Linked DNA regions of Styela clava. The protein of the gene in region 1 interacts with the protein of each later gene in a pairwise test. Links are inferred from orthologs where the notes say so. Each region holds a gene or a part of one and is shown on either strand. Other genes may lie near its edges. The genes, in order: anaphase-promoting complex subunit 2-like and anaphase-promoting complex subunit 11-like.

The links.
Region 2: the proteins of anaphase-promoting complex subunit 2-like (region 1) and anaphase-promoting complex subunit 11-like interact in a two-hybrid assay, tested with the Drosophila melanogaster proteins (2 studies listed by BioGRID). The link is inferred for Styela clava from reciprocal best matches to the Drosophila melanogaster genes mr and lmgA.

The regions. Positions count from the first base shown.
Region 1 is NC_135254.1:19,224,053-19,242,082, forward strand, and holds the start of anaphase-promoting complex subunit 2-like, read right to left. Parts: upstream 6,724-18,030; 5' UTR 6,585-6,723; coding exon 6,534-6,584; intron 2,935-6,533; coding exon 2,803-2,934; intron 1,606-2,802; coding exon 1,511-1,605; intron 1,125-1,510; coding exon 983-1,124; intron 451-982; coding exon 263-450; intron 1-262. Other genes in the region: placenta-specific gene 8 protein-like, read right to left, coding at 9,704-9,814, 11,210-11,352, 11,705-11,867.
Region 2 is NC_135257.1:2,781,985-2,798,353, reverse strand, and holds anaphase-promoting complex subunit 11-like, read right to left. Parts: upstream 7,376-16,369; coding exon 7,237-7,375; intron 7,099-7,236; coding exon 6,983-7,098; 3' UTR 6,378-6,982; downstream 1-6,377. Other genes in the region: uncharacterized protein LOC120346660, read left to right, coding at 125-262, 1,244-1,308, 1,575-1,748, 3,067-3,233, 3,776-4,139; fumarylacetoacetase-like, read left to right, coding at 5,096-6,370; evolutionarily conserved signaling intermediate in Toll pathway, mitochondrial-like, read right to left, coding at 7,739-9,265; uncharacterized protein LOC120346275, read left to right, coding at 12,483-12,530, 12,740-13,279.

The DNA.
Region 1 (18,030 bases):
TGTTTTGCAACCTATGGCATTCCGCTGGTCGGTTACGACCCATTGAGAGGCCGTGGTTCGCCATATGATTGAGCCATCTTATTGGCTTCCTCTCCCCCGGGATAAATATGTAAATCCTATCCAGTGACAATGTGCTGTGGATTGAGATGCATATAACCTTTCTTTTATGCTAGTTCAACCCAGAATATTTTGCCATTCATAAAATACAGATAACTACATATTCTCATCGATTTCATTGAACGTTATCTTTCATTTCACTTACAAATATGTTGATGCCAAAGGTGTAAATTCATTTTGTAAATAATCTGCACAATCGTTTTTCAGCATTTTGCGTGTTTTGCCATTCCATTCCAGAACAATATGATCTACTGATTCCCCTTCAGAGGAATTTTCTTCTTCCATAGAAATATCTGACAAGCTTGAATCTTGCCCTGATATCCAAGTATTAACCTAAAAAAACATCCCGCAATTTCTTTTTTTTAAAAAAAGTTACTCAAAGAAACTCAGTTTGGGTGCCGAGTAGTCTCCTATTTGCGTATATAGGCAAAATAGATATTGAACAGAAAAAGATCCTATTAGAATCACCTGAGTATTCACATTAATTAAACAGAATTTGAAACTAATGCCTGTTAAAAATCATTTTAACAATTTAATTGAAAATTAGGGATTATTTTTTCTATAAATTTACAACTTTTAAAACAATTTTTTTTCAAATCAGGAATAAAAAGGAGAAGTGTGTTCCAGAAGCTTAGCTGCCTAGATTGAACATTTTTGTGTCATATATAAATTTGCAAAAAATATTATTTGCATGAGATAAAGATAGATCAAAAACCAAGGTTTCCAGCTTTTTCCATCTTCATTAAATATTAGAAGGTGTCGCTACTTGATCTGTGCATCTCCTTCACCAATAATATATAGGCAATTATGTTACTTGACAGAAAAATATGAACTTGATGATGGCAATGATTACGTAAAGACTTACTTGAAATGCATGAGAGTAAAACTCAGCAAAAACATTTTTCATCTTCGAATCAAGATCCCACAACAAACACGAGATAAAAATTTCTCTAATTTTTGCAGCACATCTGTAATTATCAGGCCATAATTCTATCAGTTTGGTGTACCTTGAAAAAAAAACTGCCTTGAAAATTGTAAAAGAAACTTGATGGCATGATACGGCTATATGATGAGAATAAGAAGAAGCAATTTTGCTTCATGATTTTTCTAAAAGACTGCTTGTATTACTGCCATTGTCATTGATATACCAAAAACATTAATTTAAATTTCTTTAAATAAAATCAGATCCAGCTATTTCCTTATTAAATTTTTCTAATCTTTATAAAGAGTCAGCCAACAACCTATATAAGTGACAGTAGTTTAACAATGAAGGACTTTCTTATTTGGAGTCTGTATATATTATTTACACATGTCTATCTTGTTAAAATAGAAAGAGACCTCCATTGCCAAAAAATAAAAAATAGTTGAAAATAGTAAAACCTGTTTGCATTACCATGCAATATTTTGATGTAATGATTTCACTGCTTCTGCAAGTCTTGTCACTCCTCCGAATAGAACTTGTTTACGAAATATGGGAACAATTCTTTCCTGAAAATATTATGTGGATATCTCCATGTTCAAGATGTATATAATAAATTGGGTAGGCGATACCAAACTGTTAATATTCTGATCCTTCTAAAATCCAAACTATATTGGTTCTTTACCTAGCAGTGACTGCTTGTGCACAGCTTTTCTTGAAGGAATACTAATATGTCCCATAAATCTGTAATGTACAGGCTTGAAGCTTGTAGTAACATCAAAGTGACATGGTTCACAATTTTCATTTTTTTTCTTGCAAAGGTGTGCAAAAAATTATGTATAACAGAGTCCTAAATTTTATGATGATAGAATTGACAGTACATATACTCTTCTATATTACACAGATTATCAATAGAGATGTACCGATATATCGGTATCGACAATATCGGCCAATTTTTTGGTATCGGTACTGTACCGATATTTCCGATATATTTAGCTTTTTAATATGATCCAGATTCCAGAATGTTTTAAAAAATAAGTTAGAATACTGATGTTGAAATTGTTTTTTTGCTAGGAGGGATCATGAACTATGAGCCATGCACGCGCCCACCCCCGCAAGTAGAAACAGGAATGGGATTCTGACCTGTTTTCAGCCAAAATAGCTCAACTAATTCGGCTATTTCTCACTGCCAAATTTTCATATTGACATTTTCAATTATACATGGCAATTATGATGAAATATATCAATCGAATAGTAGTAGATTTTCTGATGTGTAAAATACAGAATCATACGTTATATTGGCACAAACCCTGCGCACGTAACTCAATGTATTAGTTTGATAGGAAAAGTATACTAAACATTTATTTATTTTACTACATACACATGGTGGCCAAACCCAATGAGTTTTCTAATTGATTACAAGCGTCAGTGCACCATGCATCTGAATCAATTGACGCATCTGGATCACAAACATCAATTCCTTAATATGTGACATATTCATTTTTCAATCTGGAATGATGTGCACTAAAAATAGTGCTCAAAGGCTATTGTTTTAAACCATCTTCCCTGCACACTTGAGAAAATAATTACACAGTATCGGAATATCGGCTATTTTGAAATATCTGCATCATTTTTTTTAGTTGGTATCGGATCGGTATTGGCGGCAAAAGTAGCATCAGAACATCTCTAATTACATGAATTATGAATATAAGCAAAATATCAAGCATAAAATCAAAGACATAAAGCTGAAACAGTACAATACTTACTTTTAAATCTTCTCGAAAATTATCATAAAGAAGAAGTTCATAATATTCTAATAAATTATTTTCTTGTAGCAAAGATAATGTTCTTTTCATTCCAATTATATCAGACTCTTTCCAGTTTACATCTGCTTTTTCCTATGAATAGAATATTCAAAAAAATTATTTTTATGATACTGAGTTCAACCATGTGAATGTTATAATTCAATGAAAAATCATCAGATAGGTCATAGGTTCTCAAAGTGCTCCGTACGGAGCCCCAGGGCTCCGCGAGAGAAACCCAGGGGCTCCGCGAGCTATTCGATTACTTTTCAAAATACTGACTTGGCTAATTTGGTAACTGTTCAAAGAAGCAATAACAGCTTCGATAAAATTTGACAACATTATAGCCTCGAAATATGGCAAAGCGGCGGAATTAAAAAATGACATTATTTATAAGCAGGAGCGCATCCAGGATTCTTAGGAGGGAGGGGGTTCAAAATTGGAATAGGAAATTTCCGCGCAACATTCTTCGCGATTAAAAAGGATAACGAGATTTCTGTTGCGTAAAATATTCAATCCATGACCGATGCGAGCATTTAAAGTGTCTTGTCGTTATAATTTATTTGGGCTCATCGTTACTCACGTTTGATTCGAGATTACTATTAGGATTACTAAAATGAAAAAATACTATTCTAACATAACATAAAATACGTGATAAACTGCCAACTATAAACAAAACTGGAGTCGTGTTTTTGCGAGCTTGGGATTTGTCAAACTTGATTTGTTTTTTCGCACTCGAGATTATTTTTGAGCAAGATATCACGTTTAAAAAATCACAAGGTCTGGGCAAAATACGAACGATTGAAATTTATTTTATTGCATGCGGCTCCGTCGGTAGTTTCAGAATGAAAAAAGGTAGCCTACATCGCGCGCACAATTGACTTTGTTTCGATTTCGCAGTTACTACGATGAATAACCAAAGAAAACCTAACATAACACCAAAATTTGTGATTAACAATGTTTATAAAAGCGTTTTAAGGTCTGCTGAAACCAAACTTATAGTGTGATCTTCCATTTTAAGTTTTAGTTTTAATATATATTTTAGAATGCCGCTTTTCGATCAAGATATTTGAGTTGCGGATTTACCTCTTTATCAATTATTATTTTTAGCATTCCGTCGCCTATCACCATAATATTTTTTTTCACATTGAACACATAATTTCCCACGAGAACAAAAAATCAATTATTGTCGTCATTGTGGAACAATACATGTATATGCCAAAGGAAATTTTCGATTTAGGGAGAATAAACACTGGCGTAAAGATGTTTGAGGTTTAAAAACACGCCATGCTGACGAAAACAAACGGCAATTGTAACAAAATGCAATCGCGCAAGTTATTAGCGGCCCTTTATATCTTCCAAAAATGTCAAAAGGGAAAAGATTCGACCCCTAAATTATTAATATGTTTGCCAAGTGTCAAATTTACAGTTTAAATTAAGTAAAGTACTTTTAACTTATACTCAGGAATATTAATTGGAAAGTAACAATTTAACATTTATTTTGGGGCTCCGTGAATTATAGTCAACCTTTTCAAGGGCTCCGCAACACAAAAAGTTTGAGAACCCCTGAGGTAGGTGACCAAAAAATGATCTACATGAGATTGATGTAACTTTTGGCGCAGCATCAAACCTCAATTTTTTTTTGCGAAATCTAAAAATCAGAATTCTAGGTTTTACTTGTACAACATGTCGCCTCTCATGATTTACCGTATATGATCGCGTATAGGCCGTGTTTAAAACTCAAAAAAAAAGTTGCCAAACCAAGGGACCGTCTTATACACGCAAGACTCAGATTGCACCAAAAAAATCGGCTCATTCACGTATCAGAATTTGATCACGCAACGAGATGATATTATGCTGACTTGCCGGTAATTCCAAAAGCTTCAAACCATACCAAGTTCTCACGATAAAAAGTGTCGCGCACACACACTCGCTTGTGAAAGTGGATTGTCTTATCATACAGCTAATGGCTTGTACAGTCTGTGATTGGTTGTTTAACATGTGACGCTTGTGCAGGCTGTGATTGTTTGTTTTCGCTTGTGTTTCTTTTATATAACAGCAACAGTGTCGATTTACGGTCAGTTGTTTCATGGCGAAAACTTTATTATTTGGTGCACTTTCGCCGTAGAGGCAATTAACGGCGCACAAATTTTAATCACCTTTACGATATGGATATGTTATTCGTTAAAGGGCGGTGATAAGGACTCTTATCGAAATTAACCGCGTTGTGGACGATCAAAGGAAACTGTTTTATGCTGACTCAGGGACTCTCTTAAACTCCCGACAACAATCCCTTCCATTAATACAAATCATGACGCATGAAAAGCAATAAAGTAAGAGTTACGAGTAAGGATCTACGGCCGTCGCTAACAAACAGAAATGATAAACGTTAGAAATATTTGTGTTACAGCAATTTTGTTTTCTTTCTGCGCCTTTCTTAAGGCGTCTGGCATGTTAAGATTCGTAGTGATTTATAAGAATGTGTTAATACAGCGTTATTTCTTTCCTTGAAACGGACAAGGAACGAAATTAATCTTCGTTGTGGCGATCAAAGGAAATTGTTTTATGCTGATTCAGGAACTCTATTTTAAACTCCCGACACAATCACGACACATTGGAAAGCAATATAGACTTTATTAACATAAATTAACAAGTAAGACTTACGGGTAATAATCCACCTACGGCCCTCGCTAACGTGCAGAAACGATAAACGTGAGAAATGTTTGCGTTACAGTAATTTTGTTCTCTATTACGTTTTTCTTGAAGCGTCCGGCGTGTAACAATTCGAAGGACCGGCTTACGTGCGATTTTTTATAAAATCGTTGTCATTAAGGCCGTTTTTAGGGAGTCGGCCTATTCTCGATATTGGCGTAATTTCGGGAAAATACGGTATATGGTTTTCAATTTCCTCTATCTAATGATGGTATTTTGGGTCTCGTGTAGTTTCGTACCTAACGTACTTCTAGTGGGCATTGCATAACAATTTTTTGATATGTCAATCCTAACCCCCATCTGATTACGCCATCCAAAAATTAAATCGCTACGACATCACAATCCAGTCATAGAGCTTGCCAAATATACGCACGATCGACCGTAATGGCATTGGTGCCGACGATAAAGAACTGACTGACGTTATTGGTCTCTCTCCTATTGGAATCGTTGCGACAAGAAAACGAGAGAAATAACTGTTCGATTTCGGGTGCTCGTTTGCGCGTCTTGGATGGCAGTTCGTATAGTTTGAAGGGCTCTATTACGTCACTGTGACGTTGTGATGACGTAATTTTTGGATGGTGTAGTCAGGTGGGGGTTAGGATTGATACGCGAAAAAATTGTCATGCTACGCCCACTAGAAGTATGTTAGGTAAGAAACTACATGAGACCCGGTATTTTGACTAGTAGGAGTGACGCTCTGTGTCCTTGAATGTGTCATTTACCAGCAAAATTTTCCGTTTTTTAATGAAAAATTAATTACAGAATTATGCAACATTCACAAAAAGTTAATATTAGATTTAAACGTAACATAATAATTGATCAATATACGGCGCTTTTTAGTCAAGATAATTTGAAGAACATGGCAGTTTACGGTACGATATGTGTCCGAAGTTAGGCAATTAGACTGGACAATACCGGTAAGTTATCGAACAGTTTTCAGATTTAAAACCAACCGGAAATTTAAAAATGCTTATTTAACTTACATTGAAATTCAAATATCTGACGGCATTTTCGAAGATAAGATCCAAATCCATTCTGACTGTCTGACCATAGGCCTACTTTCAGCGTTTTCTTGAAGATTTGTGTTCCATTTAGGGAATTCCCCCGATGGAATTCGTTCTAGCGAAATCATCCAAGTATAGCGATAACCAAAGTAATGGATGTTTCCCAGAACATCGACTTCTCTGTTTATTGGACACGTTTAGTGGACATAACGATCGTTTTGTTGTTATGTTGTTCTTGGTGTTCTTTGACACTTTTTGGACATCTAGTGAAAATATTAAAAAACCGCTTTTCTCTTCGATCACTGGACCAATTGCTTTGAAATTTTCAGTGGTTAAAGATGAAATTTTCCTCCAGAAGGCCCTAATTGTGTGACAGGAGTCGCGAGTGACCTCGAAAGCAGCGACACCAAAAAGCTGATTCACATAGAACACCAAGCTCATCCATCTCATTAGAAAACACTATAAAATATTATCTGTCTTCTTATTTGGTCTGTAATATATTCGTTTCAGACTTTCAATTTTTTTTGCAGTGCCGGGGGGGGGGGGGGATGAAGTTGTATAAACTACTGTAGGGGAGCGATGGTACAAAAAGTTTGGGAACCACTGGACTAGGCAACGTATGGTGAGTTACTGTAAAAGTTAAAGTATTGTAAAAAAAAAATTGATACTACAGTTGTGAGTCTATTCATTTGGCATTTCGCTATCAAACAAGTTACGTTGAGCTAGTAGGACTACTGACTTCGCAAATTCAAAACTGAAGATGTTCTTACCGTAGGTCGTTCCGCTTGGTGTGTTAAAGGCCTTGTTTCCATGAATAAAAATAGAAGAGCGAAATTCTGGATGAAATTTATTAAAGGAATACTCTTCAAATCGACAACAACAATCTCAAACTACTGTAGGACAACGATTAGAAGAAAAGTACAACAACAACAATTTATTTAAAATGAACCATAGCCATATGGCCATTTCGTGTCCAACAAAAGCCAATTCTTGAGCTAGGGCGGAAAACATGTCATCAATCTTGTGGCATGCGTGACACCTTCAAGGGCAAAGTTTTCTTTTTTGCATGGGCCGCATTCAGAAAATCTCAGAAAAAGGACCGCATTGACAATTAATTAACTGTGACGTCATAGTTACTATTCTCATTCGCTATGGTAGTGTCGAATTTAATGGCGGCTGAACCGGTGATAACAAAAATATTGAATACCATTTAGCAATTCATATAGTTGAGGGTTGCCATACCGTCCGGAAAATGGGTTAAATTTTGCATCCGGGAAGAATTTAAAAAAATGCTCAAATGTCCTGAATCCGCATCTGCAATCGTACTGTGCACACTGCTTATACAGAACATTGTTATTTCGTACCGTGCGGATATTTCTTACTACGGGGTCATGAAAATAGTCATGCACTGTAGGGAATTTTGCTTTTTCAAATATGGTGACCCTGAATTATAGTTACTATAGACAGACATCAGATTGAGTAGAGTCTGCGTATTCTGTCTTCTTGTAATATTAAAACGTATATTACCGGAATGTCTATAGCTAGCTGAACTCCGTCTTAGGTCAATGTGATGCAGCCGAAATATTAACTAACAAAGAAGCGGCGGTGTGGCTCATCATGCTGAGCGTTAAGAATACGCTTTCCACCACACCTCTGATTACTCTGCGTGCGTTCGCAGGTTCGAATCCCATGCAGGGATGGCTATTTGCGAGAGGATTGGACTCGTGGACTCCTCGCCGCCGTACGGTGGTTCACGTAACCGTTGGTTACGGCTTCCTCTATCATTAAGTTCAGGCTGACGAAAACTAACTAATCCGATATATATCCGACATGGAATGGTAACCGGACAAGAGGCCGTGGTTCGCCATATGGTTAATCCGTCTTACGGGCTTTCCTCTCCCCCGGGATAAATAGGATCCTACCCCATATAATAGAAAGTTAAACGACTCTAGATCACCAATCACCTTGGCATTGACACATAAGAAACGTTGCATGAAATCTTGTCGTGAGTAAATCACCAAAAGTATATTAATGTATAGGTTGGTATGGGATTTTATAATAAGAAGAAAGAGATAAAGTCATCGAGTGTCTAGGAAAATTTGTATGCGTTTTTTTTCTTCTTATAAATATATTTTTTATACTGGTCTGATGATTCAAAATTATATGAACAACATTGTTATGTATACCTTTTTTTTTAAATTATAAATGCACAATAATTAAAATGTCATAATTTTTCGCCTGGTCATTTAGATCGATAAAAATAGCTTTCTCTTCAATAAACTGATTATTTAGTAAAAAAGGGAATTGGTTGAATAAGCGCGAATATCAAATCAGATATTCGGGTCCAATTGTAACAAATTTTTTTGTTCGCTATGTGTTATTCTAGGTTTCCGCTTTTCGTTTCTTACATATACAATAAAATTATTTATTTGTTTAGCGACTGCTTAAACTGCGACTTTGGGACTTGAGTTGTGTGGTGACTAGTTTCATTTCCGCGAGGACCTTCTTTTCAATTCGTTTCGTGTCAATTCGTTTTCATTGAATGTTGATAGGTCAGTGTATAACAAACTGGCAATTTATGTACATAAAAAGTAGGGGAGATATCAGGGGTGGGCAATTACTTTCCTGAGTGGACCAGTTACAGATAATGAACTTGGATACTGGGCCGGAGGCTCCATATGAAACTATGAATAAAAAAAAAACAGTTCATTTACAAATAACTAGCGTAACAGCTAATGTAATAACGAACAGCTAGTTTATCGAGTGGCACAATTGCTTAATAGGACTGATGTAGAGTCCTGCATTCGTCCGAACGCTTGTTTATATCAGGCTCGAATTAGCTTGTGCTAATTTCCCAGACCGCTTGTATATGTGGCTCGTTTTACACATTATATTCAAAGCGTGGGTAATTACGGCATTTATTTTGGCCGACGATTTATTATTTTTCTCGATATTTTCAACAGAAATTTTAATCTATAAAAACTATAGTCGTAATTTCAGAAGACACGAGTGAACCAGATGAAACACTTTGGCCAGCGGCCCGTAATTTGCCCACCCCTGGGTTATAGTTAGCACCACGTATTTAGATAATTTGAAGAAAAATGATGGTATATGTACAGACACTACTGCTGCTGTCACATCATGTTGAACTAAAACATGCAACCCTTCGGATATCCACGATGGTCCATCTCTCTTGAAATCTGACACAGGACGCATTGAGTGCAGCAAAAAGTCACGCAACAATCATCACAAAGTCCACCCTTAAAACAGATATTGAAAAATGTTAATAAATAGAGATCTGTAGTCGGTATAATCCAATTTTTTGTGCGTGTGAAATGAGATTTGAGAGATATATCAACTTTTAGTTCGCCATATGGAAAGACATTCTAGTTAATTGTTCCCAAATTTCATTCACTTCATTATTTACTCCAAAATGAAATTATTATAGTTTAGGGGTGTGCAACCTTTGATACAGGCGGGCCAGATATGAAATACTGGATGAAACCGCGGGCCGCGTCTTGATTTGACATAAGCTTTCTAGTAGTAACGTCATGGGCATAGATAATAAATTGTACTACTTATTGGTAGGTATAGGTTTGCAACGCAAAGTGATTACTCGCCATATTAAATTAAACCCCTGGATTAGACTATTAGAGCATTATTATATGCTGGTCATATAATGTCCCTATGTTCTAATAAATGCGGTTTAATGATAAAGGTACTAATGTATTAAATTTTGTCAGTTTCATTCATTAAGTACATCATAGGTAGGTCTTTGCAATTATATATAGTCAGGGCTGCCATAACGTTCTTATTTCTAAGATTTGTCCTTATTTTGAAGGTCTTTGTCCCAGAAAATATTTCTGTGCTTATTTCCAAGAAACGTCCTCATTTGACATGTGTCCTTATTTTTTTATTTTAGGGGTAGAAGTTTTTATACCGGGCATTTAGTTTGGTCATTTCGAATGACTGATTTGCTAGAAATAATATTAGAACCTATTGATTGCTTCGCGCATTTATGACATGAGAGCAAATTAATTTTCATTAAGCGACTGAACAAATTAATTTCTGACGTTCTGAGCGACTGTCTTTTCCCCGAGCATTTCCACACGCGTTAAATTTGAACTTTCTAGCTATTCAATAATCAGTGCTTTAGACAAAACACGACTATACCGGTAAATTATATTTTAAATTTAGTTTAGATTTGGAACATCATAAAAGATAAAATGGTAAACGTAAAAACATTGTTTATTACATTTCGTTCTTTGTTATCTTATTATTATGTTTTCCTGATGTTCTCATTTTTGGGTTCATATATCGATGGCAGCCCTGTATATAGTGCAACTTAACATCAACACAATACTATCAGGGGTAACCAATCATCGTATAATTATATATAGATCTTGCATTGTCGTGAAAGGTTGCAATGAGATACTTCTCTTGTCAAAACAAACATCTTTGCCTCACAGTAAAGGTCGTTAAGACGCACTAGCTGTACTAAATTTGCTCGTACCAGTTAAAAGACTGGTTATGGCACTCAACAATTTTATATAGTGTGCGATAGAAATCTACATGTCAGATAATTTACTGTAAGATCTAAAACAGTAGCATTTAACATTGCAAACATTTCTAAAGTCAATTGAATAACAACTTACAACAATATTGTGTCTGGCTCTGAGATACGGACGGGCAACTGTTACGAAATGGTGAGGACAACACCAACCATACGCACATGAATCTCCAAACCTTGTAGCGAGGTTACAGAAGAAGCACGGAAAACAGAAATATGCACATAGACCTTGAAATTCAAATAGTTGCAAATAATAGTTTTGTGACTATTTTTAACTAAAATGAGTATCGACGTTAGATTGTAGTAACTTTATTGTGCAAATATGATTTTGTCCAAAAATGTACGATCACGGTACTTATATCAATATCACAGTTATCCACCACTCACCCATAATATCCTCACATGAGTGAATATTCCCAAAAAACTACTCAAATAACGGAATTATTAAATAAACGTTTGCGAGACATGAAAATATAATAGTTGAAATATAAAAAATAAGTCAATCGAGAAGGATAAGTTTGCCGGAAGCCCAGAACTTATGTATAACGCATTTAAATTTTAGGAATTGAATTCAACTTACAGCTTTTGGTGTCTTCACAGCATCCACAAAGTCCTGTTGACCACTTCGATCGCTGAATTTCCTGCGACACAGGAGTTGTTACAACTATATTTTGGGAACTGTATTTTACAGGTGGATCAGTGTATGACGCATAAGGCGCAGAACCCACTTTTCCTTGTTCCATTTCGTCTATTCTCCGATCTCAATTGAAACACTCAGAATGATTAAACTATGGAAATCCTTGTTTTCGAGAATCACTTATTTGTGCCCGAATACGTCACGTTCCAGTCTACTCACTAGCATAAAGGCTATATATTTAATATACAATATATAACCACCTTCTTCTGAAGCCTTGTAATTTTTAACAATATGTCGTTATATGTCATTGCATAATAAAAAAATAATTAAATTTCCTGAAAACTATTTTATGTAAGACAAACATCATATCCCTTCAAAATTCTTTGTAGGCTTCCGAAAACAATAGGCTTTGTTTACCATCTACAACAGTGTGGAGGATCTGTATTTCAGATGAATGTACAATAAAATCTCTTTCTCTTTACAAACGAATTTGTGACTTACACCATAAAAATGTTCGAAGACTAGAAATTTATATTACAAAATTCTTCCTAGATATACTATGGGTTTTAACTAGGATGTGTTAGATTCAACTCATACCAGGTTTATTAGTCAAGGCGACGAGAAAGATTGTCATGTTAGATTTACAACTCGTTTCATAATATGGATGAAAAAGTTCACTCTTTCCCCTAGGTATTTTATTTTTACCTCTGTGAATAAAATACTACGGTAGTAGCCTAATGAACAAACACAATAGCAATCTATCAATTAGCCCATGCATGCGTTTTTCCAATACACGCAACGCATATGTTCCCAAACTTCTTCATTGTGGACCAAATTTGAATTTAGTTGACCCATAGACCGCAAATTCCGCGTTTCAGAGCTAAACGTAAATAAAAAGATCGAGACGACAATCTGGCTTTTTTTTCAATTACGCACGGTAGGACACTATTGCAAAAATTTGTAGTATTTCAAATCCTCTTTTCGATGATATTGGTAACATTTGAGCCTGTGCCTCACGTCCTTGATGCTCGATTCTATCTTGGTGAAAACCATATAAATCATGGCCAGAGTTGAAACGATTGCGACTGTTCATTTTGGTTACTGTTAATGATGGACATTCTTGCTCAAACAGATATACTGTGGGGGATAGGAGCAGAATCTAATTTTTTTGCTAACGTTCTCAATTCTCCTGAAGGGAATATAACGAAACTTCAAAATTGTTGTTTCTAATATGTATTATCATAACAGTTTCAATGAAATTAAAATATTCCAAACACGATTTTACCCCTTTGATCAAAATACTCCTACCATGGTACTCGAAGTGTTTTTTCATGCTAAGGTTTGTCATGCGGCTCGCGAGCTGATTTTATGCGGCTCTTTTCGGATTGGTCAGTCTGAGGGGAGAATACTTTGCAAACTACGATTCATCACGTTTCGATTAAACATACAGTATTATGATACATCTTGCATTCTTCTTTTATTTCGAAGGCGCACCATGTATTCTCCACTATTACATCACAATCGCATTTTTTGATGCGAGGAGAGTTTATTGCACTACAACTACTGAAAACTAAGAATGGCGGCAAATTCGTAGTTTACCATTTGAGGGAAGTAACTGAAGTGCATACAATCTGCGTTTGGGATCTGCGAATCTGTGTTTTTAGTCTAAAATAGTGAAATCAGAGCATCGATCCGCTCTGACTGGCATATGAAAAAACTGCTTCGATTGGCTTCAACAACATACAAGCTAGATTTAAAAAAGACCGTTTCGCAAGAGTCCCTGGCAATGTGGAGAGTGATAATTGCTTTTCTCCCTCCTGTGGTGGGCAGTTGAATGAGAATTTCAGAAAATTTTCTAAGAGCATTTTCAATATAGGCAAAGCCATCCTTTACAGTCAAAGAAATACACGAAAGTTAATATCATAAGCATATACAGTCAAATCAATACACAAAAGTCAATGTCAAATGCAGCCAATACGATATACATGTACAGCTATTGAAGTAGTGTACATACTCAGCCAATGTCAGTGACTTATACAGCCAACTCGATATACATATACAGCCATTAAAGGAATGTACATACAACGTCATATGAAAATATATACGACTGAATATGAAGCTATTTATGTGATGTACACTCTAAAATATCAGTCGATGAGTTATTTAGTCTCAACTCAGTATATATGGGAAATAGTGACGAACGATTTGAATTGATAAATGCCATATGTCTAATCTGCATTAAATCATAAATTGCGTTTAAATGAAATATGGAACATTGAAACCAACCACCATCGCTGCCAGCTAAAGGCTATTCAAACGTCGTTGAATGCATTTGTCGTTTAAGAGTAGCCTACTGTATATTCCTGCAACACAAATTTTCATTGAAAAAAGCAGCTATCGATTTCCAGAACACTACAAACTACAACAAAAAGACAACGAAACAAGGTATTTTTTTTACTCACTGACGGAACGTAAGTAATTTGCAGGTTTAAAGTGCAAATTTAAAGTTTGCGGTGATTATTTATATCTTCACCCGTGGAGGTCGATTTATTTATGTAGAATTTCCATCACCGTCTGACATTTTTGCAGAGCCACCGACAAAAATGACGTATCCAGGAACGCTGATAAATTACGGGATATTGGCGTGATTACATACGCCGTTGGAGCTGGCTGGTGCACGGAACGTTAACACAACATAATTAAGAGCAAATAAAACTTGTGTTACACATATGTTCTCGTTTGATACTGTCATAACAATTATTATATCGTTGAAAATTTGAATAAATAGTGTATACAGAAAGGAAAAAAGAATCTGAAATGAACATTATAATCCTATTCACCATATTATTGTCCAATATGAATTCGAAAGCTTTTCTATTACTGACTTGACACAAATCTTCTAATTTAGCTAAGTGCAAATGGTGATGCACTGGACGATAATTGCGTATTTATAGCACAAAATTTTAACGGACTAAATGCTATTGCAAACGAGTTATAAGCAGAAATCGGTAGTTTGGTTTTGGAAGGTAGATATTTAATTTATTTCTTTATTCGTTTTTTTAATTTTTGACTTGTTCTGTGCTACATTTGATACATAATAACGTTTTTTTTTAGTTTAGGATCAAGCGGAGGTGCGGGATCTGCTGGTTTTAAAAAGCAATTTGCGGCGTTGAGTTAGTCGGAGCTTACAGTAAGCTAAGGCCAGTAAAGAAAAGGTTGCGAAGGTCAACAGATATAAACCCGGTAAAAATTTAAAACTTTCATTTTGGTTATATCAACCCTGGGTACGTTTGCAAATGCGGACTTATCATTTCCCAATTTGTAGCTACACTACACACAATATGTCATGGTAAGTTATACCAAACTTGTACTGTCGTGGGAGTGTAGTTGGGAGAATGCCCGTTTTGTTTGAGTTGGCTGTGCTTTGTATGGTTGAATATAAACGATACTACAGCGTCAGCGATGCGGTATGTGCGTGAACATGATCTCTGTTGCGGTGCGTAGAATCTTCCTACATCTTTAACTAAAAATCAGGTGCGTACAATTTACATGCATTTTCAACAAAACAGAAACCGAATCACTGACATTGTTTTCTTTATTTGGCAGTTGAAATGTCGAGCAAAGTTGTGTGGAAATTGATATCCTTTCGATGCAGACATACTTAACTGTGTGACGGACCTTGTTTTGTCTGTTGGGTGATGTCATGTGATGTTGTTTCCGTGTTTGGTGTTTTGGCATTGGGGACACGGGTGCGCTGTGACGCTGTGACGCCTTTTGGGGTGTGGCATGTTGGCGTGTGCTGTGGGTTGGCAGGGTTCAGTTGTCTGAGTGTGGTTGTGTTTGGTTGGACTTTGGCTGTTTTGTGTCTGTGGTAGTGCCTCTGGTCTCCGGTGGGTGATCGGAGATGTTTGTTTGTGGTTTTGTGACTGTTGGATTGGGATTGATTAGATGTTTTGTGCTGGGCAGTGTGATCATGTTGTGGTTTGAGTGTGATGCCATTGCAGTTCCTGTAGTGTTGTATTTTCAGTTTTATCATGAAATTAGCTATCATCAGTACTGTTCGAATGTTGTGCACATATAGAATTGTTTATCGTCTTTTAAAATGCCTGTCATAAGTTAATTTTCAGCCTGTTTTGCAAATTGTAAGTAGCTAGTATTTGGTTGTATTAACCGTCTCATTGGAGGATAATTAATAAATAGAACAAAATAGTATGAATTGAAATGAATATTGAGAGGAAACTTGACATCATACCATATTGGAAGATATTCTGAACTTGTATAATAATTTCATAGACTGTCGGTACGCTACAACTGCAAAAACTATATTCTTGGATTGCGAAGTAACATGACATTTCTATTTTAGTAGAAAACATCACATTTGATGTGATATTACATAAAGCTTGTTGTCTAATAAATGAAACATAACAAAAAGATTCATAGAGTAAAATCATCATTTAGGTACGAAATCACACCGGGCGTCAAAAAAAAAAACAATACACCTAATTGCCAATAGACCTTATTCATTAAAAACCCATCCTACGCGCAAAAAGAAAAGTGATGTAAAAAAACAATTTTGACATCAGCTCTTATGGTGAATGTGATCACCAGAGCAGAAATTTGCATTTTTTTGTAATTTTTTAGATATCTTTCAATGTAGACGTGTGCAGTTTTGAGGATAGAATATTTTTTACACCCTCTGGGTACGGTACCGGTACTGGAAGCGTTTAACATTGACAATCTATAACCCATACCATTTCTATCACGTTTGTTTACTGGTTTTACGCAAATATACCTGTACAGCTAGCAATCATTTACTGAAGGTATGCTGACGTGTTATTTAAACCAGAAGTCCGCAACTACTTTTTAGCGCGACCCAAAAGAAATTTTTCTAACTTCTCGCGACCCAAGCATTTGGTAAACATGTAATTAGGTATTGATTTTGAGACTATAGTCGACACTAGCATTTTTCTTGCACAAAATTATATGAAACTTATCACATAAAATTGTGAATAATAGCGTTTATTATGACTAATGCAAATTATAAGCTTTTTGTATAATACACAACATATCAAATCGAGGTTTAATTTGGGAGACGGCAACTCGAAAATATTTTTCTATCTCTAGCCTTGATCTGTAATTGTATTTTAAATCGCTGATAGGCGGGAAAAATGTATTGGTTTTTTAATGAATTTTGGATGCTTTTCTGTAAGATACACGTGAAACCAATCTTTATACATTATTCGCTGTTATTCCGCTTATATGTATGGTTTGAGTAATGTATTTCTATCCGATGAGGGTGAGAAGATGAGTCTTTTGTCGGGCGTTGATCCACACTCCTATTAGTGCTCCGTACGGAGCCTCAGGGCTCCGCGAGCTATTCGTTCACTTAAAAACTGACTTGGTTAATTTTGTATCTGTAAAGAAGCATTAACGTCACTAATAAAATTTGCCGATGGTGGTGTCGAAATGTGGTAGTGATTCAAATATAACATTATCCATAACTGAGGGCGCAGCAGCCATGGTTTTCTAAAAGGGAGGGGGTTCAGAATAGAAAATTCCCGAGCAACACTCATCGCTCAATCATGGCCGACCCGAGAATTTAAAATGTCTTGTCATATCAATTCAATTTAATTAGTATTTCATCATTGCTCGCCTTTGAGTTGACTAATATACTACGGCAACCATAAATTACTTGTTAAACCGTCTACTAGCAATGAATGGATTGAAATCGTATTTTTGAGTTGCTCTTTCAGCACTTAGGATTATCGCAATGTTTCGTTGTTAAGGGAGAGTTTGCAGTTATGAAGCCAATTATATTTGATACCTTCATATCGAATTCGGTCTATGCATAAATGTATCAGTGATTTCTAGATGCAGTGATGGGACAAATATCGGCGGACACAGTAAAATGATCAAACTCTCATTGAAGGGTTTAGATCAGGGGTCGGCAAACTACGGCAAACACTGAAGTGTATTAACAAAACAGCTTTATTGACGAATATATTTTTTACGTGACAAAATTTGTTTTGAGAAACTAAATTATACTATAACGTAACAAGTATATAATTCACAATCACTCGTTTAATGAGCCTATAATTGATTATAATTAGAGAAATGGCAACAGAACGTAAAAAAGTTGATGCTGAGCGCAAATGGTTTAAAGACGCTGACAATATTCAAATGATCAGTCTTCGCGCACTGCTTGAAATTTCTGGGTGAAATGTGATTCATTGGCTATTCCTTTGGTTTTTAACTTTCTAAAATACGTG
Region 2 (16,369 bases), on another chromosome or scaffold:
CATGAGATCTATTATCATGTGCGGCCACTCAACACGATTACTTAGTACAATCATTGTCACCACTATACCCTTGTGCGTTTATATATGTATCTTCAGCTAATATAGTATATATATCAATATTCAGCCATGAGCCACGGAATAAAGCGGTTATCTAGCACAGACAGTATCCTTGATGCAAAAGATCAACAAATGTCAACATTTGGATATCGTACAGTGGACCCGGATAATCTAAGAAAAAAAGCATTAGGAAATACCAATCTGAGTAAGATTATAATATTTTAATTTAATCGTTTAATTTAATAATTAAAAACTATACCATGATCCAAAAAGACGTGCCTTGTTGTAGATCAGATACAAACCTTGAGAAAGAATAAATATGTCGCGACGCACTAATTGGTGTTTCGAGTATTGAATTTTACTGAAACGTCTCAGCACGATAAAAAATAATTTTGCTATCCCCGTGAGTGAAACAGTGGGCAAAATACCTTTTTGTGCGTTGTTTTTCACTCCGAACAAGCAACATTTTTTCGAATATCTACTCCAGCGGTCGGCAACCTATGCGGCTAAAAACACCACCCAACAGCAAACACAACACTTTTGAGCATCATGTCTGACTTCACAAACAATTGCCATGTCAGTATGTCGCAATAATGCTGGATCAATTGTTTTCTCTACACCCGCATAACAATGTCTCTCATCGGTCGGACAAGATCTTTTAAACAAAATGATTCTCGCTATAAACGTGACTACTTCACTACTGGCTCGTAGCTAACCGGTCATACCTAATCAGTGCTAATTCTATACTTCAGGATCAGGATAATCATAAAGTTAGCACTTCGGGTAAAAAAATTAGTTTTGGAAAAACAAACCTCAGTCAACGGCCAGACTAAGGTCGAAGGTTTACATGCATTGTTACCTTTACCGAGATCTTATTAATGTTGTGAGTCCTGGTTTTCAATATTGACAACTACAAAAACGAAATATCGAAGTAGGCGAGATGCAAGAAACACGTTACGTGTGTTAATGGCCAGCAAACACATACAGATATCGAATCAAATAGCATGGCCGTCGTTTTTAGTATATTGTCAACATAGATTTCCTAATGCGTATAATTTATTGCATTAGCTTAGTTCGTTTGTATAAAGGTGGTCCGCCAAAATTTTGGTCAGGCATTACCGGTCCGTCACTTAAAAAAGGTTGCCGACCACTGAAATACTCTTTATAGACAATTTGATTTTCACAGAAAAGAGGACTGCATCTAGTGAACCATTTCTTGATCGCTCGTTTAATTCTGGAACGAACGAAGAGGTAGGTTGTTGCTATGTTATATGCAGTATATCAATATAGTACAATGTCATATATAAATACAGTTATTTTACTTCGAGAAACCCTGAATATATATATATATCACATTTTCAAAAAGGTTTCATTATTATTCGATCTCACCAATGGCTCACATTTGCGCCGAATTAAATTTCTGAAATCACATACGACATCTTCAATCAATTCATTCTTATATCCCGGAATAAAAATATTTAACATGCGTATTTCCTCTGACGTGATGCTATTTTCAGAGACTAAAATCCACGTCATCCAATTCAATATTTTCTAACTTTGTGGGAAGTCGCCTGATGTCATGGCGACAACGTGCGTCACGGCCGAAAGGGATACGACGTAACGTAAGTCGGATTACGAAGATGACGACAGCGATCTGCACGTTGTTTGCAATTCTCTACGTGCCATTTTTGGTAAGTTAAAAATGAAACAGCCTGTCAGTTTTGTTGAATTGAGAAGTAAAAAAATCAACCCTTTAGTGCAGTGGTTCTCAACCTGTGGTACGCGTGCCGCTAGTGGGAGCTTTTCAAGTGGTACGCGGGAGCTTATTAACTGGTACGCGAGCTGATTTGAATTATTGCAGCAATTAACCATTCAGTTGGATGCCGGCAACACTTTATCTTCCTTACTGTATGTATTTGCTGAGCGTTTATGGATGTTTTCCCAAGCTCCAATTTTCTTGTTTATTTCCGTAACTGTAACCAATCAGCAATAAGTCAATAATGACGCAACAGGTAACAATTGCAATTTCTGCAACCAGTCGCTCAGACAATTCTGTCGCCCAAACAGATATTCAAGCATGGTTGCAAACATTGCCTCGTTTTTGTAGTTTTGAGTGATATTTGTCAGTTTTCAGTTGTGTCCAAGAAAATAATTGTGAACTAATTAACTTAATTGTCATTATATGTCTTCCGATGAGCTTTAATGTAGTTGCAGTAATTGAAAATGAATCTCGCAAATGATGCGATGGACAAGGCTAAACTTATCTATATATATATCAGTACCTGCCAACGGCACATGGTTGAATAATTTCAATAGAAATGATGATTTCAAACACGTAAACCAGTTTATATGCGCCAACACATCAAAACACTCAGAATAAGTATAGTAAAGTATATAAAGGGATAACTTTTTCCGGGATCAATGTTCGGGGAAACGTCCATAGCGCTGACACGCTACCAGTCCTTTTCTTTAGAGATCGCTCTCGCCCGCTATTGCCCACCTTAAATGGGGCAATATGGGCATGTTTTTGTCCGTTTTGCGTGTTACGCCACAAGGGATGTAGTGCCACATTATAAAATACTCCCATAGCATGTTTCTTGTGTCTTTTTCCTCACGCCAAAAAAGTGGCTTTGTCGGTGGTACGCGGCCATAGTAAAAAACCGTAAAGTGGTACGCGGTCAGTAAAAGGTTGAAAACCACTGCTTTAGTGAGACTAAATTAATTTAAAACAATGATGCCTTTCTTGAGATGGCTGGAATCTTCAGTATATACATCGCAAACGCACATTTGGATGAACGAAATTTCGAATTGAAAAAAGTTATCGATTTTCACGGGTAACGTTACTTCAAAAATGTTCATTATGATTACTAGTAGCAACGTGGGATACCAAGAATGCTTCGATCACCTATCACAGAATATTCTTCTCTTAATATTTAATTCGTGAGTTTAATATTGTGATCCAACTTCCAAATAAAAGCAATTTTTGACACTTCATATCATATTGTGCAGGTTAGAAAATTGGTACAAATTATTCCACAAGACTACTATACTGTTCATGTTCCATACGCCGTCGAAATTATCACTCTGTTTGGTCCTCTCCTGTCACCTTTGTGCAATCCCATTCTCTACGTCTTTTTCAATCCTCATTACAGAGAAAATTGCAAGCGTTTATACAGGTAAGCAAAAATAAAGCTATTATATTAAGTTACCTCAAGTTGTTATCATAGTTATACAACCTATTTTTGTCAAGAGGAAATATATATACAGATCTCATTGGCTGTCAAATACTAGCTGGTTGCAAATTTACATTCAGAAATTTGATCAAAATTAATGAATTGATAGTTAAAAATCAGGATTTTCAAAGTTCATGATATTGCATCATTGTAATTTATGTTTTTAAACGCGTGCTAATATTGTACGTGATTGTCGATCAAAAACAATATACAAAACACGCAATAGTGTCTTTTGTTCAAAATCGTCCGCTTCTAGTGTTAAGTAAGTCTTTGCGCCATTCTAACGTTATGCCAAATTGCATTTTATAAAATATATATGTGAATGGGACCCTATAAACATTTTTTTTCCTATCTGTTGTGAGATACTCTTATCAATGACAGTAACTTTCAAGTATCAGAAACGACCACAAGCTTGTTCTACTATATGTTTTAGTATTTGCACCATCAAAGTAATTTTGCTCAAAGCCATAATTCTATTTCAACAGAAAATTCACCAAAACTACCCAAGTGTCTCGTGATATTGCAGAAATAAGCTCAACACAGAGTAGATTTAAGTCATTTAGAAAAAAGAAAAGGGTCAAAAATCACATACCAATCAATGTTTCGGAAAGTGAAAATATGGGAATAAAAGGAGAATTTAAACATGGAAACGACGAAGTTTTTCTTTCAACTGGACATATTCAACACGAAGACGGGGTTTTTGTATCAGATGCATCTAATTCAGACAGTGGTTGTTCTATGAGAATGAAGGATGAATATGGAAGAAAGCAATCTTTGCGCCAAATGCATTTACGCAGAATACAAAATCTTCAATATCGCCGAACTAAAAGCAATGATTACTTAAACTGAATTTTGAATTTTTCTGTTTGTACTCAAGAAAGCATATTTTCAATTTTGGCTGCTATTCGTGTTTCATGGAAAGTTTAGTTCGAGGGAAAGAAATTCTACCCAAAGAAAGCCACGCGCACTGACTCAGAAATATAAAAGAAGGTGTCTTTGAGAAAAATTACGCGCTACCACTAAGTGCCAAGACCAACTGATAATACAAATCATTGTAGCATAAAGTTGCACCTTAGTAAACACAGACAGACGCGACGTCGGTGGTATATATGTAGGCCAACTATTCGTGAAAAAACGATTATTTTTTCTGTTCGACACAAATGTCGCGGAGAAGAATCCGGGGTGTTTGATTCCCAAAACCGCAGGCCTGATTTACCTATAGCTAAACTTCAAAACAGCAGACAGCTTCTAGCGTACGCCCAGGGCGTAAAAGTTTATAAAACGCTAAATTTGATCCAGGATCTAAGTATAACTCCATACAATATTAGTTATAGACCAGAAAAAGTTAATTTAGGGCTGTGTGACAAAATCTGTTGTGTGCAGATTTGAACACCTCTGTCCGACAAGTAAAAAATATCTTACCATCTTTGTTTACATACACAATATAATTTTTTATAATAAGAAACATTCAATGAGTGTTCAGCCATAGTGAGGTACCGGTTATGGTTTAACATTAAAATGCTGCCGGTGGGAACACAACATAGACAAATTGAAATAAAGAATATACAATTTTGGATTATACATGGTATCTCTTACAAATAATATTTAATCCGGATTAGTCGGTCACTCAGAAATCTTCGACCTTCCAGAAAAAATCCATGCGGCCAGCAAACCGCTGATGACCGCCGCGTGAAAAACTCAGTGCACAACCCACAGGAGGTCACTTTCAATCAACAAACGGCGTGCCTGTAAGTATAGACTATCATTTCCTCGTAATTTTGCAGTCTCGTTCAGTGAATTAGACCATGGCCGGGTTAAGTTCGTTTATCGATGTAGCCGAGAACAGTCATTTTCCTATTCAAAACTTACCTTATGGAGTATTTTCTACCGGAAACGAAGATCCACAGATCGGCGTTGCTATTGGGGACAAAATTTTATCACTGAAGAGATTATCCTCTTTCTTTGATGGCCCGAATCTCGTTAACAATCAGAATGTTTTTCTTGAAAAAAATTTGAATAGCTTTATGGCATTGGGTTATGAAGCATGGCAGGAGGCTAGGACAACCATTCAGAATCTTCTTCGAAGCGACAATGACGTTCTGAGGGATAATGCAGAGCTCAGATCACAAGCTTTTTTCAGCCAAAGCGATGCAACTATGCACATGCCAGTCGTTATTGGGGATTACACAGACTTCTATTCATCAATTCACCATGCCACAAATGTTGGTACAATGTTTAGAGGAAGGGATAATGCATTGATGCCTAATTGGAAACATATCCCTGTGGGTTATCATGGTAGAGCATCATCTGTTGTTGTTTCTGGAACACCAATACGCCGCCCTGTCGGACAAACCAAACCTAATGAAAATGCACCTCCTGTTTTTGGCCCTTGCAAACTTCTTGATTTTGAGCTTGAGACTGCGTTTATTGTGGGAACTGGCAACAAGTTGGGTGAACCTATTTCAATAAAAAATGCCCATAAGCACATATTTGGAATGGTACTGATGAATGATTGGTCTGCAAGAGATATTCAGAAATGGGAATATGTTCCTCTCGGCCCATTTCTTGGTAAGAATTTTGGAACATCTATATCACCATGGGTGGTAACAATGGAGGCTCTTGCTCCATTTGCGATACCAAATTATCCCAAAGATGTTGAAATTCTACCGTACTTGAAACATGATGATAACTATGCATTTAACATCAACCTGTCTGTGGCAATAAGAGATAAAGACATGGTCGAACCCGCAGTTGTCTGTAAGTCTAATTTCAAATACATGTACTGGACAATGAAGCAGCAACTTGTTCATCACAGCATTAGTGGATGCAATACCCAAACAGGGGATCTGTATGGATCGGGCACAATTAGTGGATTGGAGCAAGATAGTTTCGGCAGCATGCTTGAATTATGCTGGAAGGGAACTCGCACTGTTGATCTCGGAAATGGAAAATCAAGAAAATTCTTGCAAGATGGAGACAATGTTATTCTATCAGGATTTTGTCAAGGAGAAAATTACAGAGTAGGATTTGGAACCTGTGAGGGGGAAGTTCTACCTGCAATAGATGCATCACAGTTTTAGACGAAAATTGACGACGCTACTTATTTATTATGCACAAAAATGAAATTCAGCCGAACTGTTGTCAGTAGAATCATGTGTGGCCTTTTCACCTTCGTTGCCTTAGCATTGTGATATTGCGTTGGTTTTTATACTATAGCCAAAAATAAATAATGGATGAAAAACAGCGCCGTTGATGTAGCAGTAATGTCTGGGCAGATCAGTGGAACTCACACTAAAACGAAATCGATATTCCTAACTCAAATAGGATCCCATCCATGTTACAAATTAGCAGCTAGTTTGTCCCAACTCTTTAGATTTGTAATTCAATTGCATCCATTCAACCAGAAAAAAAGTCCTCTCCATAACAAGTGGTTACTGATATCATAATCAAATTAATGCTCAATCATCAACTCAATTTCGTCAACTACCTGCCAAGAACTCGGCTAATAGTGCATTTTTTTAACGTTAATGAGGCTACATATAGCAGCATACACCTAAATAATGAGAAGATGCCACCAGATATTCTCAACGACACTTAGCCACATTTTTCCAGGGCTGCTCCAGTTGAAATCCTGTCTGCACATTGGACACTGTTGATTGCTACATTTTCACAATGCTTTTCAAGTTGATAGTTCACTCTTTGAAAACCCAATCCTGTCTGCACATTGGACACTGTTGATTGACTTGTTGTGATTGAAGCCACTTCAGTATGCAATGCATGTGAAAACAATGCGAACACTGTCCCCATACTGCAAAACAAATGATATCATGAATTTTATTTATATTCATGATCTGATAAGCAACACAATTCAGCCTCAGTGCTTTCTCTTAACTCTTAACCAATGCTCTGCTCTCTCTTAACCAATAACTCTTAAAAAATAACTTACCAATAGGGCAATCATCACCCGGTGCTTTACAATCAGAACAAAAGCATTCGAACGGATCACGACATATTCCACAATTGTCATCTGATGCTTGCCAACACCATTTTGCAACAGCATGCACTTTGACTATCTTGAACTTCATTTTTAAGCTGGTTAAAAACAACTCTACACAAACAAATATCTAAAAGTAGATGATATAAATTAAAGTATACTCAGACATATTAAATTTTATCGAAAACAACCAAAAATTTGACATGAATGTGGTACACACAAAAACTTAACATGATCCATGTAAAAAGAGCTATGCTTTTAAGTGATTTTTGTGACTTTGCTTTTCCTACTATTGAGGAATAAATCTGCCCATGTATTGGAGTGAAGAACTGCACAAAGCCAAGTTTCATAAAGTTGATAAAGAATCATTGATAAAGTTTCTAAATATATTATTCGCATTTTTACGCAATTATTCATAGATCATGTATACATTTCTGCACCTTTACTATATCGATCAACCACGGTGGTCATCTTTTATGTTTTGTGGGCCAATTTTATAACCTTCAGACAAAAAATTTACTTTTTCATTAAAAATTACAGTTAATTGTGAGAGCTTCGGATTGGAAGGCTCTAAACCCTTGACCCAACTCCGCAGAGCACCAATAGACTTATGATCAGTTGCAGCAACTGCAAATACATTACCCTCAAAGGGTTTAGTGTCATCTTCAACTTGAATTATTTCATTCTGCTGCAAGTCCACAAAACTTTTACTTTCTAATTTTACTCTAGGCAAGAAACTTTCAGTTGAATATAATTCTTGCGTAGATTTATTGAAAAATCTTTTGGAAGTTCCAAAGTCTGAACCATAAAACTGGGTCCACCATTCCCTATCAGTTAACACTCGTTCTTGTTCAGACATTTCGGTCTTGTTTTCAATTGGGTCAGTTCTCATAATATAGTATTGAATTTTTTTATTTTGAAAGTACACCATATTAGGCCCTTCTACAAAAAGTGGCTTGGTTACATCATGGTGATCCAGCATTTCTCTTTGATGATCTGTTTGTACGCTTATTATGCAATCTATTTCTGCTTCCGGAGTCAATTTTTTATCATTGAGAACTGATGAGTCTACTTCAAATCTTCGATATGAAGCATCTATACCAGGATTCACTTGTCTCAAACCTCTTACAGCAATTTCAATGGGAGTCAATTTTTCTAATTCTAGTTTGGAGATAAGAAATGGAACAAATGCAGACAACCTAGGCTGCCAAAAAATAAGCTGCCTGGCAGACACAGTAGCTCGGCTGAATTTTCCAAAAAGTCTCATGCATGCATTATAAAATTCATCATTAATAAGGGCATTGTTTTTTGCCATAATACTAAATAATCTTCCACCAAGTTCATGATCTATAATTTTATCTTGCCACACCGATTTAAACCACTCGTCTCTTCGCATGCCAGTATGTTCTGATTGAGGATAACATTCAAGTATTTTTAAATACGCTTTGGATTCATGCTGGACATTGAATCGATCAAGATTATTTAGGGCAACTTGCACAAACTCCCTGTGTCCTCTACGAGTTTCACCTGCATCTTGAATCCACATGTCAACCATTTTGAAAAAGAGACGTTTATCCGCTTCAACAACATCATAATACTCTGCATCATCAACTAAATCTGTATGTTCCTGTGCTTTCCGTACATAGTATTCCAGAACCGCCTCTTCATCGTCAGGTGCAGACTCTGCTAACATCTGCTGGTACATGGTGTTTTGTGAAACCATTTTTCGTTTCACACTGCGCTCTACCGCTGTATCTTCTTCATCCATTTGAATAATACTTTTTCTTGCAACAGGTTGCAATACACTTTCTTCGGTATTATCTTCTTCAATTTCATTTTCAATCTTCTTAATTTTGTTCGATGACTCTCCTGATGAAAAATATTTCATGGTGTTGCATATATTTCTGCAACTTTTTGAATTCCTTGTAATTGGAGTGCAGAACTTAATCATTCTATAGCATTCATTAGTTTTACGAAACATGGTTTAATATTTACAGATCTCAAATATAATAATATATTCTGCTTTTCAGTTTTAATATGAAAGATGCAGTTAGTTAGAAATGTAGGTATACAATATACATAGAGACTGAGAGAGATTAGGCAGGCCTTATGACTTCGAAAGATATTGTTTCATGATGCATTTAAGTTATGAAATTACAAAATTAGGTATAAAGCTACTGATCTCATCTTGGATTTTTTCTAAAAAGGACGACAAACTTTTTCCTAATCAGCTAATCAGACTCAAGTTTGGTTTAAAAATCCCCTCCCCCAAACAGCCAACTGCCCAAAATGAATATAGCATAATATGCCGGTCCCAAAACATTTTTGGGGTTGAGCATGGAAACAACCAACAAATGCGCTCGTATATTCACGGAAAATCTATATTATATGGCTTAAATGAAACCTGATTCTGTTCCCTTGTTTTAGGTGGTTTATACTTAACTAACACTCATATAAGCCGAAATATTGAATGTTACGCAAAATGGGAATGCTATTATTACAGCATTCAGGTATTAAGTGGTTGAACGTCCCTATATTTATCTGTGTGTTCTTATCCCAGTACTGGTACTATTTTTTTTTTTTTATAGATAAAATAATAATAATATACCAGTAGGCCTACTTGTACTATTTGGGCAAGTGCAGTTTCAAGTATTCCATGGCGTCTGCAGCTGCCGCAAAACCATGGCGGTATTTCCATACCATGGCCGCTACGGCCAAACCTATGGCGACTGACTTTTTAGCTGCCACAAACCAATGTCGATCTGCCGTTACCGCGGCAGCAAATTTAAAACCAATGGCAGGTAAAATTTTGCTGCCGTAACCGCGGCAGGTGGGCCGTAAGGACAGGGCTGTCCCTTATGGTGACAAATATTGGGTAAGTTGGAACGTTTTTCTTATGGATACAGTCTTGATGGATTTGGGGTTAGGGTTTAAGTAGATATAATTCCGCATGATCAATTAGAATTTGGTACATTAGTTTGTGAATATACCGTTAATACTGATTACTGAATACAGAATAGCGCTATAAAACCGCCATGAAGTGGTAAGAACTGCGCCTCTATTTGGGTCTGGTATAGTTTAGTACCACATTCACTTCTTGTTGGCCTGGCTCAACAATTTTTGCATATGTCAATCCTAACCCCCACCTGTCTACTCCATCTAAAAATTACGTCAGTGCGACCTCACAGTGACGTAATATAGCCCTTCAAAATATACAAACTGTCATCCAAGACTGTGCAACCCAAAGTGACCATAAACTGGTGCAACCGAAATCGAACAGCTATTTCTCTCGTTTTCTCGTCGCAACGATCCCAGTATGAGAGAGATCGCTGACATTAGTCAGTTCTTTATCTTTATCGTCTCATCAGAGCCATTATATAACTAGTCTGGAAGGCCGTATACTGACCTGCAACACCGTGCAACTAACTTGTCCCATTATGGCGTCATATGGACGCCATTTTCGATCATTCGGGTCGAGTAGTGTAACGCAAACAAGCCTAGTTTTAGTAGTTTTAAATAGTTATTGGGGAAGATTTAAAGGAGTAGTTATATTCCGAAAGCGCAGAAATCCGATAAGGCGTCCCAGTCAGTATCGAACCCAATATGAGGCACTTACATTAACAACCCACGCCGCTCGGTGACAAACAAAATATAGACGCAACACACGGTTAGTAAAGTGAATGCAAGTCAACACACACACACACACACATAGCCTACGGAAAATGGGGAAAGTAGGCAAAATCTAAAATTATTTCAGACTAGGGCTATCGGCCGTCCCCGCAATGACAGGGACAGTCCCGGAATTGACGTCTGGCGCCCCGGGCCACGGTTGTCCCGGAATTTACTGACAACCAGGGCGTTCTGAAATAGCTTGGGCTATTTTTGGCTTCTGCCGTCACATTCGAAATACCCTATTTAGCCATTTGGGGTCCCATGATTGGAGTGTTTCACACCACAACAGGCCTAAATGACTAAAACGAACTGAATTTTCGACAGTAAAGACGACGTCCGCGGTTGCATTCGTTAAATGAAACAAAGGCGACCAGAATAATTTGATGGAAATTTATATTTATCTGAAAACTAAATTCAATGGAGTTTGGACGATAATAATCAGAAAAAAATAAATAAATTGGCTATGTATACATAGTGGATCAGCGACAAATTTTCAATGTGATGAGAATGTGTCTGAACGTGAAAAATAAATAAGTGCAACTCAGTGATACATACACAGTATTGAATAAAAATAACACACTGGATAGGGAAAGATGATTTTGATTCATAGGTTTGTCATAATCTGAAACTGTTTCAAAATTGCATGAACTTTATATACATTTTGGGATTTTCACAAACTTGCACTCTAAAACTGAATGTAAATACTTACAAGTAGCCTATACTTATCAAGAAGTTTTAGCAGATGGGTTTTGAAAACGTTTCTGACCAACATAAGAGGGTCAAATCAATGGAGCTTTCCCCGACCTTTGGGGCTATTTTAAGAGTGCTTTTGCAAGTTGGCGTCTGTAAAATGGGGTATATGTTTCAAAACATCATTATGATTCGTTGCATACAACAATCTGTTTTTTAAAGGTACCGGTGAAGAATTTCAGGCTAGTCTATCACAGCTATTTCTACACTAATTTTTATTACTGCAATTAAATTAAAACTCCTAAGAAGACAGAGTGATCATTGAATTATCTGATTTATATTTAAGTTTCCAAAACACAACTGAAAACTAACGAATAGAGTTCAAAAACGCGAAAACGAGGTAATGTTTATAACCACGCTGGAAAATCTGTCTGAGTGAAAAAAGTGTCTGAGCGGATGCGAAAAGGGGGCATTGTTACGTTACTTTTTGCATTTTGCTGATTGGCCAATGTCACGAAGTAAACAAGGAAGTCGATGCTCGGGGAAAGGTCCATAGGAAAATTTTCATAATTCTCATCTTGAGAATCGTGTTTACAAAACAAAGCAAGCAATGATCATCATAGGAATAGTGAACATTTTTATTTAAATCTTTGGTGTAACAGTATGATTCATGAAATCATATACAGCAGACCAGAGCCATTATATACTAGTCTTGAAGGCCGTATACTGACCTGTTGTTCACAGCGTCATCTAGTGTTGGCGTGGGTAATTCATAACCGCGGCGTCGTCTGCTGTATATTTTAGGCTGCTCGCTGTTAACGGTATTCAAAGTTCGAATGAAAATAGATTTATCTGAGGAAGAAATGCTTGAATTTTTTGATGACGTGAGTTATATAGTACTGATTGTTTATTAAAAAAGGTTTTGATCCTGAAAGAATGAATAGTAAGAGTTCATAGTACCGTAGTTTAATATATGGAAGTAGAGACCGTTTTTGTTTTGCTAAAAATTTGGTCAGTATTTATACATCACATTTGTTTTGCTTTATTCAAGCACTTAGGCACTGTTTTAGACCCGATTTTATATATTTAACAGCTTGATGACGAGATAGAAGGAAAATGGTGCATATCTGTAGTAGAAATCGACTTCGGAAGTGTTGATTGCAAGAATACACTGCAGACTGCATTGAATGATTTGAACATCACATTAAATCAGGAATCATCACTATGGGCAGATGTTATAGCGTATATGATGGAAATTTCTAGGGAAGAATCAGGAAGTAAAATGACAGCTAAATACATTGAAAAATTGCAAAGGCCATACTCGAACAATTCTGAAATCTCTCATTTGGACCTAAAACGCATAATCAAAACTGCAGCACCGAAAATTATAAAAGAAGCTTTTCAAGTATCCCAAGTACCTGAGCCATTCATGCAAACGTCAATAACCAAAGGCGACAAAAAGGTGATTGAGTACCTAGCTGGGGGATTGCTAAAATGGGGAATAAAGCGTCTAGGTGGAGAAGGTGCTTTCTGGTGTCAAAACCAAGCTTTGAGGCGTGATCCCAAACACGGGGTGAGATCAACCAAGTTTTTGAGAAGGATTGAAATTGCCGATGATATTGTGGAAGAATAAACTCTAGCGAAAGCGCAAGAAAACAAAGAAGCTCTGTATGTATTGATTTAATGTATTCTCCAGTTTTTCAAGGTGATACTTTCAAAAGCTGTAATTATTTCATTAATGGAATTGTAGGTAATAATTGCAGATTGAGGTGATGAAGGTGGACAGTAATTTATAGATGAATATTTGGGAACAATTCTTCTTGGTGGGCAGGGTGGTACTTTATGTGATTTTCTTGGCAACAATTTTGTGGGTGATGCTCCAAATTCAATCCAACTTTTGTTATTGGCCCTTTGAATATCTTCATCCTTTTAATTATCAGCACAAATTCTAGCTTTTCCATCCTCAACTTTGCTTTCAAAGTTAGGAGAGTAGCAATATTTAAACACAATCTAGATGCAATAGAAAATTACTTAGCAATTAATATGTCAAAGTCATAAGTGAGTTAATAAATGGCTAACACTAGAATATAATAAGACACAAAATAAACAGTGAAAACTCATGACATCACATACAGCAGAAGCCTACACCATATTTCTGAAATGAAAGAATAAAGATTGTCCTTGCTTTGGATAGCCAAAATAAAATACGGTAAAATTGCGGATACCAAAAAAACGTGATGAAACTTTTGTGTCCATTCTTTTAAAGGCATTCCAAATGTCCTTTTCTTACCATCCGGGACACGATGCTTGCTTGGAACCATTATTAACTCTGTACCGGTAACTAAAAAACGAATGTTACCAGCACCGGAGTTATCAGTAGCTTAGGATAGGATTCTAGACTACCTTTTCTGCATACACAGTCTATATTTGAGTTTAATAATAATAGTTTGCCTTTTTATTTCAGTTTTCTATATCTTGCCAACTTCGCGCAACTTGAAATGTGTAAACATGGCCTGAAAACAATCACACATTACCTGCATCAAACTGCCTGATTCGGCTGTCCAGCAGACGACAGGGGTGTAAAACCCACGCCAACACCAGATGTCGCTGTCAACAACTCGGTTTTTTCAGACTAGTTATATAATGGCTCTGGTCTCATCGGCGCCGATGCCATTTCGGGTGATTTTACCACCTCAATGGATTTTACGTCGTAGTATATATTTACGATTTGACAAGCTCTATGACGTGATTGTGATGTCGTAGTGACATTATTTTTGGATGGCGTAGTCAGATAGGGGTTAGGATTGGCATGTCAAAAAATTGTGACGCTACGCCCACTAGAAGTATATGTGGTACTGAACTATATCAGACCCCAAAATTCTAATAACTAACAAAGAACGATAAAACAAAGATGAGCAACACTTGAGCTCTGTACAGGTATCTGCTACTGGCAAGACGACATGCATCAAACGCACATAACTAGTTTTAACAATTGATGATGTCTGCAGGTACCGTACGGCAGGGATTCGCAAATACGGGGTCGCGGCCCAAATTTGGGTCGCGAAGCACAACAATTAAATTTGCCATAAATATAAGCATCGTATATAAGCAGTGTTTAATATTTATGTACTACAACTTTGTATACTCTACCTCTAATTATATTTATGAATGTTTAACATTCTTATTTACTGCCGTAATATTGGCCAATCATTTTAATGGTTGTGAATATTACCTCGTTTTCGCGTGCTATTTGTTAGTTTTTGGTAAATATAAGTCTAAATCAAGTAACAATAGTCATTTTGTCTTCGTAGCAGTTATATTTTAATTGCAGTAATCAAAAATTAGTCTAGAAACAGATCTGATAGACTAGGCTGAACTTTTTGTTTTGAATAAAAATGATGGGTTGAAACCAGGGGCGGATCAAGCCCCTTTGGTGCCCTAAGCACTGAAGACTTTGGTGCCCCCTCATGTGTGATTTAATTATAAAAACAGTAAACCACATAGGTGTATTATCCATTGAAAATAATCACAACGAACAGTACATAAAACAACTTTTACGAACATTTTTAGGTTTTTTAACTGTTATATATAGCCGATATATATATCGGCCGTTTACTGCCGTTATCATATATCGGCAAACACGCAATATCGGGCAGATATATCGATTGAGCTCTATTCCTAAGGGAGTGTTTCAATAAAGATCCATGCCTCCAGTCTCAACGTGAATCGAAATACCAAATCATTCAATTCACAACTATAGTTTGAAATTTTACCGGTACTTGGTAGTCTACCTCAGGGTGGTTCAAGGTTGCTAGGATGAAGGACCGCAAAAACTTTTGAGAATGCCTCGCGGGCCGCATGTCGGAGAAAACCCAAAAGTGATCAAAATATCGCGAGTTTACTTACTTCAAATTTAATAAACAATGAGAGTTTACCGTTCTAATCAGACTATTATTATGTTGCATGGGTGGCGTTCTTTTAAAGGATATATATATATAAGGCCTTCAGTTATTTTAAAGGTAATTCCCGGAAATTACCGTTGTATTTTGCGCATCTCGCGTTTAATGTCGCTCCAAATTATATTCTTTCGTGACAAATATTACTTGAAATCGAACTAGACACTGTGTGATGGGCAAGGAAATACGTTTCCGCCGTGTTTTCCTTATGTCACCTTTCTTGCGACACTCGTTTTATAACGAATTGTTATATTGAGTAATTTAAAAACTTGCAGCGTGAGCAAGCTGCAATCATCAAATATCAATCAAGTCCGTCTAAGTTGGTATTTCGGGACCTAGCTAAAAAAAACTGGATTGCGTTTCGTCACTACTGTCACATGGCCGACGCTCAAAAACAGAGGAGTGTTTTACTAAAATAAGGGCACAAAGAGTTAGAAAGGGGTTTGAATCTCGGGATCTCAACCCCTGTTGTGATACCTAAAAAAATTCAAAAACGTTCCTCCATTAGATACAAATATACGCTAAAATTGTTCGGTAAGCCGCGTTGAATGTATCAACATGACAGGGTTTGGACCACCCTGAACTAACCTTATCATCAAAAAACTCCCGACTTCGCTGACCACTAGATCGTTGAAATGCGATCGTGGAACCGCCACATAGTGTAAATAGTTCATTGGTCCAATTGTTGAAAAGAAAATAAATTTTTTAAAACAAAAATGCAGCAACAAGGAGAATTCTAGAAAGAATAAACAACAACAATTTAAGAA